Caenorhabditis elegans: one gene and its partner. The protein of the gene in region 1 purifies or fractionates together with the protein of each later gene. This does not show direct contact. Each region holds a gene or a part of one and is shown in the gene's direction. Other genes may lie near its edges.

Region 1 (7,888 bases):
AGAAAATAATTTCAATGTTTTTCAACCGATATTTAATATAATAATAATTTCAGCGTTGACAATCTCCAGCAATTCGTTGATGAAGTTCTCGCCGGAAATGCCGAACCATACATGAAGTCTGAGCCAATCCCAGATGAACAAGGAGACGTTAAGGTTGCCGTTGGAAAGAACTTCAAGGAACTTATCATGGATGCTGATAAGGATGTGCTCATTGAATTTTATGCTCCATGGTGCGGACATTGCAAATCATTGGCTCCAAAATACGAGGAACTTGCTGAGAAGGTAGAATTTTTTGTTACATAAAATTAATACGACGTATTGTGAATAAGAATTCGCAACAGTTGGTTTTTTTTAAACATCTTCCCATAGTTCACATTTAAAAAGTTTATTTTTTACTTATTTTGAAACACGAATGTGAGAAAAACTTAAAAATAAAAATAGAAGTTAGCATGCAAGTTATTTTTTACATAGTAATTTTTTATTTATTAAAGTGCTTTTGTGATAAGCTTTCTGAAAGGTTTTTCAAAAATACAAGTTAACTTTAATTAAACTTTTTTAAATATTTAAGTTTACACTGGGAGACACTTAAAGTATTCAGGCTTGTGATATAATTTGTAAAATACTTTCAAATTTTGTAATTTCAGCTCAACAAGGAAGATGTTATCATTGCTAAGATGGATGCCACCGCCAATGATGTTCCACCAATGTTCGAAGTTAGAGGGTTAGTAATTTTATCCAATGCTGATCCTGAATTATTTGTATAATTTTGCAGATTCCCAACTCTCTTCTGGCTTCCAAAGAACGCTAAGTCGAACCCGATCCCATACAATGGAGGACGCGAAGTTAAGGATTTCGTCAGCTTCATCTCAAAGCACTCTACTGATGGGCTCAAGGGTTTCAGCCGCGACGGAAAGAAGAAGAAGAAGACTGAATTGTAATTGGATAATTATAGAGAATTTTTATCAAATCCCTCCCTCGTTGTTTCCCTTTTGTAATTTATTTATTTATTGTTTGCAGCTTCGACTAGGGTTCCCAATCGAAGAATTTTCAACTTGACGGTTGTTTCACGGTTTCTTTCTTGTTTTATGATGTAAAAAGGACCGTTTGGTGCCTTCATTATGGCGTTTCGTACGCCTTTTTTGCCAATAAACCTTCTGGTCTCTAATATTTGAGTTGTTCTCACACAAATACATGAAAAGCATCAATGTGGGAGGCTCTATTCTGACTAAAAATGCAAGTTTGAATTCGCGGTTAGAGTAACGAGCACTTTTGATCGCGAGCGGTTGCGTCGCGGTTGTGAGGTGTTCATGGCTGGGCGATTCGCTTTTTTCTGAAGTGCGCATCTCTTTTTGGACCGATTTCTTGGCTCACAAGCAGAATTTTTCGATTAAAATGTTTTCTATAGACAGCTAAATTTAATTAGTACCCTTTTCAGTTAAAAAAATATAGGAAATTGCACCGGAAAGTACTATTAATGGGCCTAGTGCAATTGTTTTTTATTCCGATGTTAACGGGGATCTAGTACCGTATTTAACAAATTGCACATACTTTTGAGAATTTTTGAATTATTTTGATGTTATTTTATTATAGTTTAGTGATGTTTGAAAAAAAAGTTTTTTGATTTTACGTCAGTGATTTCATTGATTTTTTTTTTGAATTTTTTTCCTCTTGTAAATATAACGGTATCGGCGCCAAAATGAAATAATTTGAATATTAATAAGATTGTTTGCTAAAATTAGCTAAAATAGTTATCAAAATAGTAATATTTATGAATATAAATATAATCGAACAAAATTTTGCTAAATTTTACCGTCTTTTTGGAATTTTTACGGGGTTTTTTGTTGAGAAAAAATAAGAATTTCAGATATGTGGAATCAGTCTGAATCATCATCTGGGAGTGATGCAGAACCTGATGAGAAAACAGATGAACCTGTGAGGGAAGAAGAAAATCCTGAAGGAAACAGTACCAGTGAAGATAATGATGAAAAAGAAAAAGGTTGGATATTAACTATTTTCAGAATTCATCAAATACATTTAAAATCTTAAGTATCTGAAATTTTGTGAACTACAAAAAAGAATGTTACATTACACGAATACTATTTTAAAAAAATAAGTTATTTTTATTTGACTCAATTTCCAGCTGCGGATTCACCTGAAAGTTCTTCTGATCAAAGTGACGACAGTGATGATGCTAGTGAAAACTCATCAAGTTCAGAACCAGATGAACCTGCCCCGAAGAAGAAAAATAATAATAATCGGGGGATGGATGCAGAAACAAGAAAAGTATGTGTCCAAAGATCAAAAACACAACAGAAATTAATTTAATATATTCCAGCTGCTTGAAAATGAAAACTACTTTCGACGTTCAAAACGATCAAAACGACAAGATGATTCACCGTCGGATAATTCCGAAGAATCACAATCTTCTGAAGATGATTGGGATGATCGACGAAAACCACGGCGAACAGTAACAAAAAAAGTTGTCAAGCAAACGAAAAAAGCAGTTTCAGTTGTAAAACGGAAGTCGGTGAAAGGAAATGTTAATTATGCCGAGAAAAATTCGGATGATGACGTGAGTTGTTGAAATATTCAAATATAGCGCCGAGTGGTCTCTCCGCGAAAAATATTTTTAGAAAATGTAATTCAGTAATGCGCCTTTGATACAGTAGGCCGCAAAAATTATTTTTTCCTTCATTTATTAGCTTCAATTTAAAAACATCTTAAAATTAAAGCTATTTAATAATTTTTTTAAGTATGAGTCGTAAAACTAAAATGTGGAACTAGTTTCGTCCGAACTTCATTTTAAAGACCTTTTCTAAAACTAAAATAATCTTAAAATTTAGCAGTTTCCTATATTTTATTTTTCCAGATCGACGATGACGACGTTCTTGAATGGGATGAAGAGCCAGCAGTACCCGCAGAAGGACCTGCAATTCTTACTGAAACTGTCGAAAGAGTTATCAAATGGCGGCACGGTGTACCTGGAGCAACGGGTTCTGCAACAACTTGTTATAATATTGCTGATAAAGGGGATCCTAACGATCAAATTCCCGGTGATAAGACAGAGCAGCAATTTTTTGTCAAATGGACAGGCTGGAGTCATCTGCATAACACATGGGAGTCTGAAAACTCATTGGCCTTGATGAATGCAAAAGGACTCAAAAAAGTTCAAAACTACGTGAAAAAGCAAAAAGAAGTTGAGATGTGGAAGCGGTCAGCCGATAAAGAATACATTGAATTTTTTGAATGTGAACAACAAATGGCAGAAGAACTTTGTGAAGAATACAAAAAAGTGGAAAGAGTCGTAGCTCATCAAACATCAAGAGATCGAGCTGCTGATGGATCAATGGCAACTGAATATCTTATCAAGTGGTCTGGATTACCGTACTCGGATTGTACTTGGGAAGATGAAAAGATGGTTGCACCTGAGCAGATAAAGGCTTATTATCATCGAATTGAAAATCTGAAATCTCCGAATAAAAATTCAAATGTTAGTTTGAAGGACAATTTATTTCACTTTTTATTATTAAACCTCTACAAAAAATAATAATTTAGGTCCTCCGGAAGCGCCCGAAATTTGAAAAATTTGAGTCGATGCCGGATTTTCTGAAAACCGACGGAGAATCAACACACAAACTTCGTGATTATCAACTTGAAGGTCTCAATTGGATGGTATACGCTTGGTGCAAAGGAAACAGCTCAATTCTAGCCGATGAAATGGGCCTTGGAAAAACAATTCAATCGATTTCTCTTCTCGCTTCATTATTTCATCGTTATGATCTTGCTGGACCATACCTCGTAGTTGTTCCTCTCTCAACGATGGCTGCTTGGCAGAAAGAATTTGCTCAATGGGCTCCTGAAATGAATCTTGTTGTTTATATGGGCGATGTTGTTTCTAGAGATATGGTAATAAATAATATTTGTATTTTTATATTGAAAAGTAGTTTTGTAGATTCGTCAATACGAATGGTTTGTCGGCGGAACGAAGAAAATGAAGATCAATGCAATTCTGACAACGTATGAAATTCTTCTCAAAGATAAAGCATTCCTGTCATCAATTGATTGGGCAGCTCTTCTTGTTGATGAAGCTCACCGTCTCAAAAACGACGAATCTTTGCTTTACAAATCTCTCACACAGTTCCGTTTCAACCATAAGCTTCTAATCACAGGAACACCTCTCCAGAACTCATTGAAAGAGCTGTGGGCTCTTCTTCACTTCATCATGCCTGAAAAGTTCGATTGTTGGGAAGAATTTGAAACAGCTCACAATGAATCGAATCATAAAGGAATATCTGCTTTGCACAAAAAGCTTGAACCATTTTTGTTGAGGAGAGTAAAGAAAGATGTTGAAAAATCGTTGCCGCCGAAGACGGAACAGATTCTCAGAGTTGACATGACGGCTCACCAGAAGCAGTTTTATAAATGGATTCTTACAAAGAACTACCGCGAGTTATCGAAAGGTGTCAAAGGATCAATTAATGGATTTGTAAATCTTGTGATGGAATTGAAAAAGTGTTGCAATCATGCATCCCTCACTCGACAATATGATCATATCTATGACGATGCCCAAGGAAGGTTACAACAACTTTTAAAATCTTCTGGAAAACTAATCCTTCTTGACAAGCTTCTATGCCGTCTGAAAGACAAAGGTCATCGAGTTCTGATCTTCTCTCAAATGGTTATGATGCTCGATATTTTACAAGAGTACCTTCAATTACGACGCTTTCCTTCACAACGACTCGACGGATCTATGCGTGCTGATCTTCGGAAACAAGCTCTTGATCATTACAATGCTCCGGGATCCACGGATTTTGCCTTCCTTCTGTCCACGAGGGCTGGTGGATTAGGAATTAACCTCGCCACTGCTGATACAGTAATAATTTTCGACTCAGATTGGAACCCACAGAATGATTTGCAAGCAATGTCTCGTGCACATCGTATTGGTCAAACAAAAACCGTGAACATCTACCGACTAGTAACAAAAGGTTCTGTTGAAGAAGAGATTGTTGAACGAGCGAAACGGAAGCTTGTATTGGATCATTTAGTCATTCAAAGAATGGATACCACTGGAAAAACAGTGTTGTCGAAGAATGCAACTGCCAGCGGAAGTGTTCCTTTCGATAAACAAGAACTTAGTGCAATTCTGAAGTTTGGAGCTGTTGAATTGTTCAAAGAGAAAGAAGGTGAAGAACAAGAACCTGAAGTTGATATTGATCGAATCCTGATGGGCGCGGAGACTCGAGAAGCTGAAGAAGAAGTGATGAAAGAGAATGAACTGCTCAGTTCATTTAAATATGCAAACTTCGCAATCGATGAAGAGAAGGACATTGCTGCAGCAACTGACGAATGGGCGGCTATAATTCCAGAAGAGGATAGAAATCGAATTCTTGAGGAAGAACGGATGAAGGAGTTGGCTGAAATGAATCTAGCACCGAGACAAAGAAAACAACCAATACCACAGGTTGTCGAAGATGATGATGGTGACGATGATGAAGAAGAAGATGATACTGGAAAAAAGAAAAAGAAGAAAGCAGTGGGAAACTTCACAATTCCTGAAATCAAACGATTTATCAAATCATTCCGAAAGTTTTCGATGCCTCTTAACAGGTACGTGCTTCTCATGTCTTATTAGTTTTTTGTTAACCTCTGAGCTCATTGAGTCGGCTGTGCCACTGCTTTGTAACTCTTCTCTCTAAACTTCTAAACTCTCTAAATTGTTCTCATGTTTTCTTTTCCCCAATCTTCCCCCACCCACCTGTGTTGTTTTTAGGCTCGAGGAAATTGCTCAAGATGCGGAACTCGAGGAGCACAGCACTGACGAGATGAAGAAACTTGTTGAAAGTTTGAGTGAGGCGTGCAAAAAAGCAGCCGATGAGTTCGACAGTAACGAGAAAAATGGTGATGCCGGTGCAGCGGAAAGTGAAAAGAAGGTTAGTTCGAATTTTTTGAGCCAACTTTTTTTTTGTTCATTGAAAATATTAATTTTCTCTGATCAAAACAATTGATTAATTTTTTTAATTAACGCGTTTAAAGTTTTTTGATGAAGCTAACTTGTGTTTGTTATGGAAATAATAATAATATGTATTTTATTAACAATTTTCTTGCAGGACATCGAAAGAAAATTCAAATTTCATACATGTGACGTTAATCTGAAGCAAATCGAACGAAGTCATGCTGAGCTGAAACCATTACACGAAATACTCAAGTCAGAAGAAACGAAAACTTCATTCAAACCACCAGCAAATGCTAAATTACAAAAAGGTTGGGATGTTGATTGGAGTCGACCTGATGACTCGGCATTGCTCCTGGGTGTCTGGAAGTACGGTTACGGTAGTTGGGAAGCGATAAAAATGGATCCTACTCTTGGATTGGCTGATAAGATTTTTATTAAAGACAAGACGAAAAAACCGCAAGGAAAAAACTTACAAGTTCGAGTCGATTATTTGTTGAAACTAATGTCCAAGGATAAAGTGAAGACAACGGAAAAAAAGGAAAGAAAACGAAAGGCAGATGATGTACCAGTTGGACCAGAAAAGGTTGGAATTTAATGTCTTCTTATTGAATATAATTTAAATTTTTCAGAAGAAAAGGCATACGAATAATGTTCCTCAAGAGGGAGAAAAGAAGAAAAAAGAAAAGAAAGAAGAGAAAAACAGCAGCAGTTTGAAAGATCAGCTAGCTCTTCTTTCGATTGATAAATCTCTTTATGGAGGTGCTCTAGAGGATAGCAGTGCCAAGCCATTCCTAGGTAAAAACTTTGAAAAAATATTTCAGAACTTACAGTATATGTTCTAAGACATTCAGATATGAATTTGACTGCAAAGAAATGTGGATTTTTAGAAAAAATAGTATTCTTAAATTAAACTTCATATGTCTGAAATTCGAAAAAAAATAATAATAACAGCTCTGGCTTCTAATCATCCTATATTCATTTATGAAAGTCTAAGAACATCTATTGTAAGTTGAGTTGAAATTAACTCCAAATCTATTCCATTAAAAAAATCAAAAACGTTTATGAATTTTCAGAATGTGTGAAGCTTTGCATGCCGGTACATAAATACATGAAAAAACTGAAGGAAGCGCAGGAAGCCAAAAATCAAGCTGACGAGGCCAAATATCTTACCCGACTCGGCGACTCGTTCCTTGAAAACCTCGAAACTCTTATAAAAAAGAAGCCAAAAACAAATATTCGAAAATGGTATAACTATTTGTGGATATTTCTTTGCAAGTTCACTCTGAGAGAACCTGGAGAAATGGCTGACCGATATAGAAGTATAACTTCTGATAAACACAAAAATCACCATCACCATCACCATCATAAGAGTAAGGAGGAGAAGCCGAAAGAAGCCAAAGATCACAAGGAAAGGGATCGAGAGAAGGACAGAGAAAGGAATCGTGGAGAAAGGCGGATGGATCATGGTGAAGGAACTAGTAAGGACCATCATCGGGAACATCATAAAGATCATCACAAGGATCATCACCATCGGGAGCAACATAAGGTATTCATTAAGAAAACAACAACATTTTTTTGATGTTTAATATTTTCAGGAGAAAAACCGCCGACATTAGTCTAACTCCATCTTTTCGTCTACCTGCACACACTACACTCACGGGTTCTTCGTAAACTGCGATATAATTTCCATCATCCCGTTTCTCTTTCCCCAAAACATGTCAATTTTTAGTTTTCAAATTCGTTGTTGATAAATAGAAATTCTTATTCATTTCTAAATGATATAATCCTAATTTTGTCCGTTTATTTGCCATTCCTTATCCATCTAGCTCGATTTCTTTTCCTGTTTTCTTTGGTCGGGTTTACTTTTTTTTGTTTTTATTTCAAATGTTTATCACATTTCATCTTTTTTTGTTTCCTTTAATAATGATCTGTTTA
Region 2 (4,518 bases), on another chromosome or scaffold:
TGTACAATTACCACGACACTGTTTTATTATCCATTGAGTAAGACTGTTGGAGGATGGAGTTACTTGATATTTATTATTCCAACGTTCGTTTTTTTTTCACGATAACTTTTCAAATAATTTTATTCAGGTCTATTTTCTCAATGATTTTATGGAGGTTACTTCCAGAAACTAAATTTCATTATAAGGTTTTTCTCCAGAAGCTTTTTGAAATTTTAAATTTTAACATATTCAGATTGATCCATTGGAAATACGACTTCTGACAGATCTCGGACCATCAATTGCTCCGAATTATGGTACATTAGACCTTGACGAACCAACTTTGTTTTGAATCGCTTTTTCAATAATTAAATAGTTTGTTTGTTTCCATGTCATAATAAAATACGTTATCTTTTTTGCAATATTAGCTATTGAAAAAGCAGATATTGAACCAATCATTCAAATCGAAGCAAACACTAAAATTTCCGATTCCGACTCAATTTTGGTGCTTCGCTAAATATATAGTTTATTACAGAAAAGTATTAATGTCACATTCTGCAAAATATGGAACCATTTTCTATTTGAAAACAGCTTTTATTGTAAAAAGAGTTCCCGAAACATCACATTTTTTGAAGAAAAATCAGAATTTTTAATTTTTAAAAACCCTACTGTAAGAAAATTGTGTTCAAATATGTACTGTTTCTCTTTTACTACAAATTCCGCATTTAGATCTTTTACTACGATTTGTCCACATTTACTACTCTTTTGCTACGGACGTACTTTTTACTACGTTATCCCATTTCGATCGTTTGCTACCGTAGACATTTTTACCACAATGACTGGGATCCTTTACTACTGATTTTTACTGCGAATTGAAAATTAATTTTTAAAGTGTATTCTAGATATGAGCAAGTGTATGAATATTTTTAAAAATACCTAGGTCACAATTGTAGTCTCAAATAATTATAATAAATTTCAGTTGTTTTCTTTTTGGAGTTAGTTAAGGGATACTGTTGGGTTACTGTAGTGGTACTGTGGTAGTAAGAGTTTTCAGATTATATCCTGTTTTTTACTTTCTAGAAATTTATTCACTAAGAAATGATCAAAACTTATTATGAACATTTGGCTCTAGATATAAAAACACGATATGATCTCTTGCTCTCTTGCAAAAAATCTAGAATCATTAAACAATATTTGCCGGTTTTTTCTATTCATGAATGTGGATTAGGGGTGGCGATAGGTCGCCACCGCAATATTGCAAGAGTTTGGATGCAGTTTGGGCCCCGGGGGCCTGTGGAGACGCAGAGGCATTTTTGCCTACAGACTACGACGCTCCGAAATCCCGCCGCGCGTGTTGTTTATCGTTGATGAAGAGACTTGTTTTTTTTCAAACAAAAAACTAATCTATTGTTTGCTGCCAGTTATCATATTGATTTTTCTCTTTTTAAATCAATTTTTCTTTAGTTTCAACAACATATCGAAAATTATTAGTTCTTTGCAAGTTCCTTCAAGTTGCTGGCGTTTCCGGGTGGAGAATTTTCGCAATTTTCATCAAATTCAAGTTTCGACTTTTTGCAATTCCCCGCTTTATTGTGTCATTGTATGTTTTTATTAGTGAAAATTAAAAACAGTGGAAATGTACATTGCATATTAAAACTCGCGCAGATATTTTATAAAAATTTAATGTTGTTTTTATTTTACATGTGCGAAAGATTTTTCCAGCACTTTTACATAACCCCCTTTAAAGGAATTTTCTCATCTTGTTGTAGTTTTTTTCGGGAATTTATATAGAAATATAGATAAATACTTTTACGTTCCGAAGATAACTGTACTTTCAATAAAATGTCTCAAAATCTGACTCAAAGTTACAATGTTAAATCAATCACTTTGGAATTTTTGCTCCTTTAATGTTCATTTTCAGAAATGTCTTCTTTGTTTACTCTTAATACGATTTCAATCCTTATTTTTAATTCCTTATATGTATTTCTTTCAAAGAAAATAACTTTTTCCAGTGTTCGAACTTTGCGGAATGTCGGACCACGAAGAAGAGTCGCATGGAGCTTCTCCAACATCCCCTGCTTCATCAGGAGCTTCATCCCCATTGGCTCCAATTTCTCCTCGCTCGGAAGGAAACGCCCCAGAATCACCATCGGGAGATGTTCAGGATATCTACAAGGATGAATCGTTCGAGGCTCCGGCTAGTCCAGCTCGTGACAGTTCTGCTCCAGCAAGTCCATCTGCCGCAAGTCCTGCTGGCTCAAGATCACCGTCACCATCGCCGGTCAAAACCAAATCAAAAGTTATGATAGACAGTGACGAAGATTCTGATGCGGAGGAAAGTGCGAACAAGCGAGCTTTGATAGACTCTGATGCAAGTGATGCAGAAGGAAAGAAAAGGTAAGAATTAAATATTGTCAACCTGCTACGTTTTACTAATTTCTAACATTTCAGAAGAGTAATGCTCGATTCTGATGATTCTGATCATGAAGGCACCTCCAAAAAAGAGCCAACCACAAAAAATCTTTTTGGTGATGACAGCGATGACGACGACGAGGATCGACCAAAAAAGACGAATGATTTGGATGAATTTGTGGAGGGCCGTGACGAAGAAGAAAGTCAGGAAACTTCAAAGCCTGCCTACGACAGTGACGACGATGATGGTCCAGTAGACAGGCATGGACGTCATTTTGAATGGGACTTCGATAAAATGCTCGCCGAGAAAAAGGCAGAACGTAAGAAGAAAACTCGTCGTGGAGGAAAAGACGGAGGAATTGATATAATCAATGACGATGACGGTACCGTTTCACGGCTCGTTGAAAGAATGAAACACGCGGCGAAATCTGACAGAAATGCAAATATTGAACGAAAGCCTGCTTTCCAGAAAATCAAAATGCTTCCTGAAGTGAAGGCAATCATGCTTCGAGCTGGAATTGTTGAAGTTCTAATTGAAAACGGCTTTATGAGTGCTCTTTCCGAATGGCTTGCTCCACTTCCAGACAAATGCCTACCGGCACTTGATATTCGTATAACTGTGCTCAAGTTGCTTCATAATCCACGATTTTGGAAACTCGACAGAAGTACACTGAAGCAATCGGGTCTTGGAAAGGCTGTCATGATGCTTTATAAGCATCCTAATGAAACGAAAGAAAATAAAGGAATTGCGAATAAGCTCATTGGAGAATGGGCCAGGCCAATTTATCACCTAGATACTGACTACAGTACCGTTTCAAGGCAAGAACGCGAAGAAAGGGATTATTCTAGAATGCCGGAGAAAAGGAAAAAGAAGATCAAGTAAGTAATAGTAGTAATTGAAATATTTTTTAAAATTAAATTTCAGCAGCCGAGATGAAGAAGAACCCAATGATGACGATCAACCGAAACGACCACGAATCAGGGATGCCGATGAAATGGGGCCAACGAAATCTGATGATCTGAAACCTGGAGACAAGGGATACATTCCAAGAGCACGTGTTCCTAAGCCATCTACCAAAGATTACGTCATCAGACCAGAGTGGAGAGTTACTGGAGCGTTCAAGGGGGTAAGTTTGTTTTAAAAATTGTAAATTTTTGAACATTCTTAAAATTACTACGTAACTATCTAAAAGTCAAATTGTGGAACAACCTCAAAACGGACCTATTTTTATACCGAAAATGTTTTCTACCGTAATTATAATGCAGATTTGATTTTCTCCAGTACCCTTTTATCATCAGTGGATACATTTTTTAATTTATGAAAAAATTCGAGATAAATTTTAATTTTGCTTCAATTTTGCGTTTCAGGAGAAGAAATCCACTGGTAACAACAGATATGATCAGACATTCCGCGATTTCCAAGAGAGAACCAAAAAATCGAAGGCAAATCGGATTGTTAAAGTATCTCTCGAAGGAAGAAACATGGGCATTTGAACCCGGAGTTAAACTACAAATTATTGTTTTATTTATTTACCTTTCTTTGACACCTTTAAAATGTTGTACTCTGTTTTCAACATGTAATTTTTTCTGTATCTGATCGTCTTGAATAAAATGTGTTTGTCTTTGAACTTTTTTATCGTGATTTGTATTCACTATTCTATTGGTTTTTCCTCAAAATCTCTATGCATTCTCACAGATTTCAATGATAAATTGGTCACAAACTAGCCGGGAGGACGGACGGCCGAACAAGTGTTTCATGACAAGTGTGCTCCTCGATGCCATCCTCCCGGTCCAATCACTTATCAACCTATCTGTGTCCTCTTGTATATTAATGCTCTCTATTGCGCCCCAACGAAGCATCCTGAAGATTTGCTCGCACACAAAGCTCGCCATTTCTCCCGCGTACCCTCCGCTTTCGATTCACTTCCATTCTCTCCATCTAAATTTTCTCAGTTTCCGGGAATTCAATGATTCTGTTGTTGTTGGTTTTATTTGTTATTAATAATTCACAATAGGTTTTGTTAAGAGGGCATGCATGGAATCCTGTTGAAATTGGCAAAAAAATAATAATGGAGGTTGTTTTCCTGTGAGAGACAGTGCAAAAGACACCAGCATCTCTAGAGTAAACAC

The links. Proteins that work in one complex are often made in the same cells at the same time.
Region 2: the proteins of chd-1 (region 1) and F13B12.1 fractionate together in Caenorhabditis elegans (co-fractionation; one large-scale study listed by BioGRID). This does not show direct contact.

What each region holds. Positions count from the first base shown.
Region 1 is NC_003279.8:7,009,187-7,017,074, reverse strand, and holds the start of chd-1 (Chromodomain-helicase-DNA-binding protein 1), read left to right. Parts: upstream 1-1,851; 5' UTR 1,852-1,866; coding exon 1,867-1,996; intron 1,997-2,140; coding exon 2,141-2,283; intron 2,284-2,335; coding exon 2,336-2,572; intron 2,573-2,869; coding exon 2,870-3,490; intron 3,491-3,496; exon of another isoform or gene 3,497-3,555; coding exon 3,556-3,906; intron 3,907-3,952; coding exon 3,953-5,607; intron 5,608-5,770; coding exon 5,771-5,930; intron 5,931-6,107; coding exon 6,108-6,536; intron 6,537-6,582; coding exon 6,583-6,748; intron 6,749-7,026; coding exon 7,027-7,499; intron 7,500-7,548; coding exon 7,549-7,569; 3' UTR 7,570-7,888. Other genes in the region: pdi-3 (Protein disulfide-isomerase), read left to right, coding at 54-282, 645-721, 773-938.
Region 2 is NC_003282.8:10,422,106-10,426,623, reverse strand, and holds F13B12.1 (IWS1-like protein), read left to right. Parts: upstream 1-1,988; 5' UTR 1,989-2,005; coding exon 2,006-2,373; intron 2,374-2,427; coding exon 2,428-3,267; intron 3,268-3,313; coding exon 3,314-3,515; intron 3,516-3,756; coding exon 3,757-3,882; 3' UTR 3,883-4,014; downstream 4,015-4,518. Other genes in the region: F13B12.2 (Major facilitator superfamily (MFS) profile domain-containing protein), read left to right, coding at 1-83, 128-185, 233-328.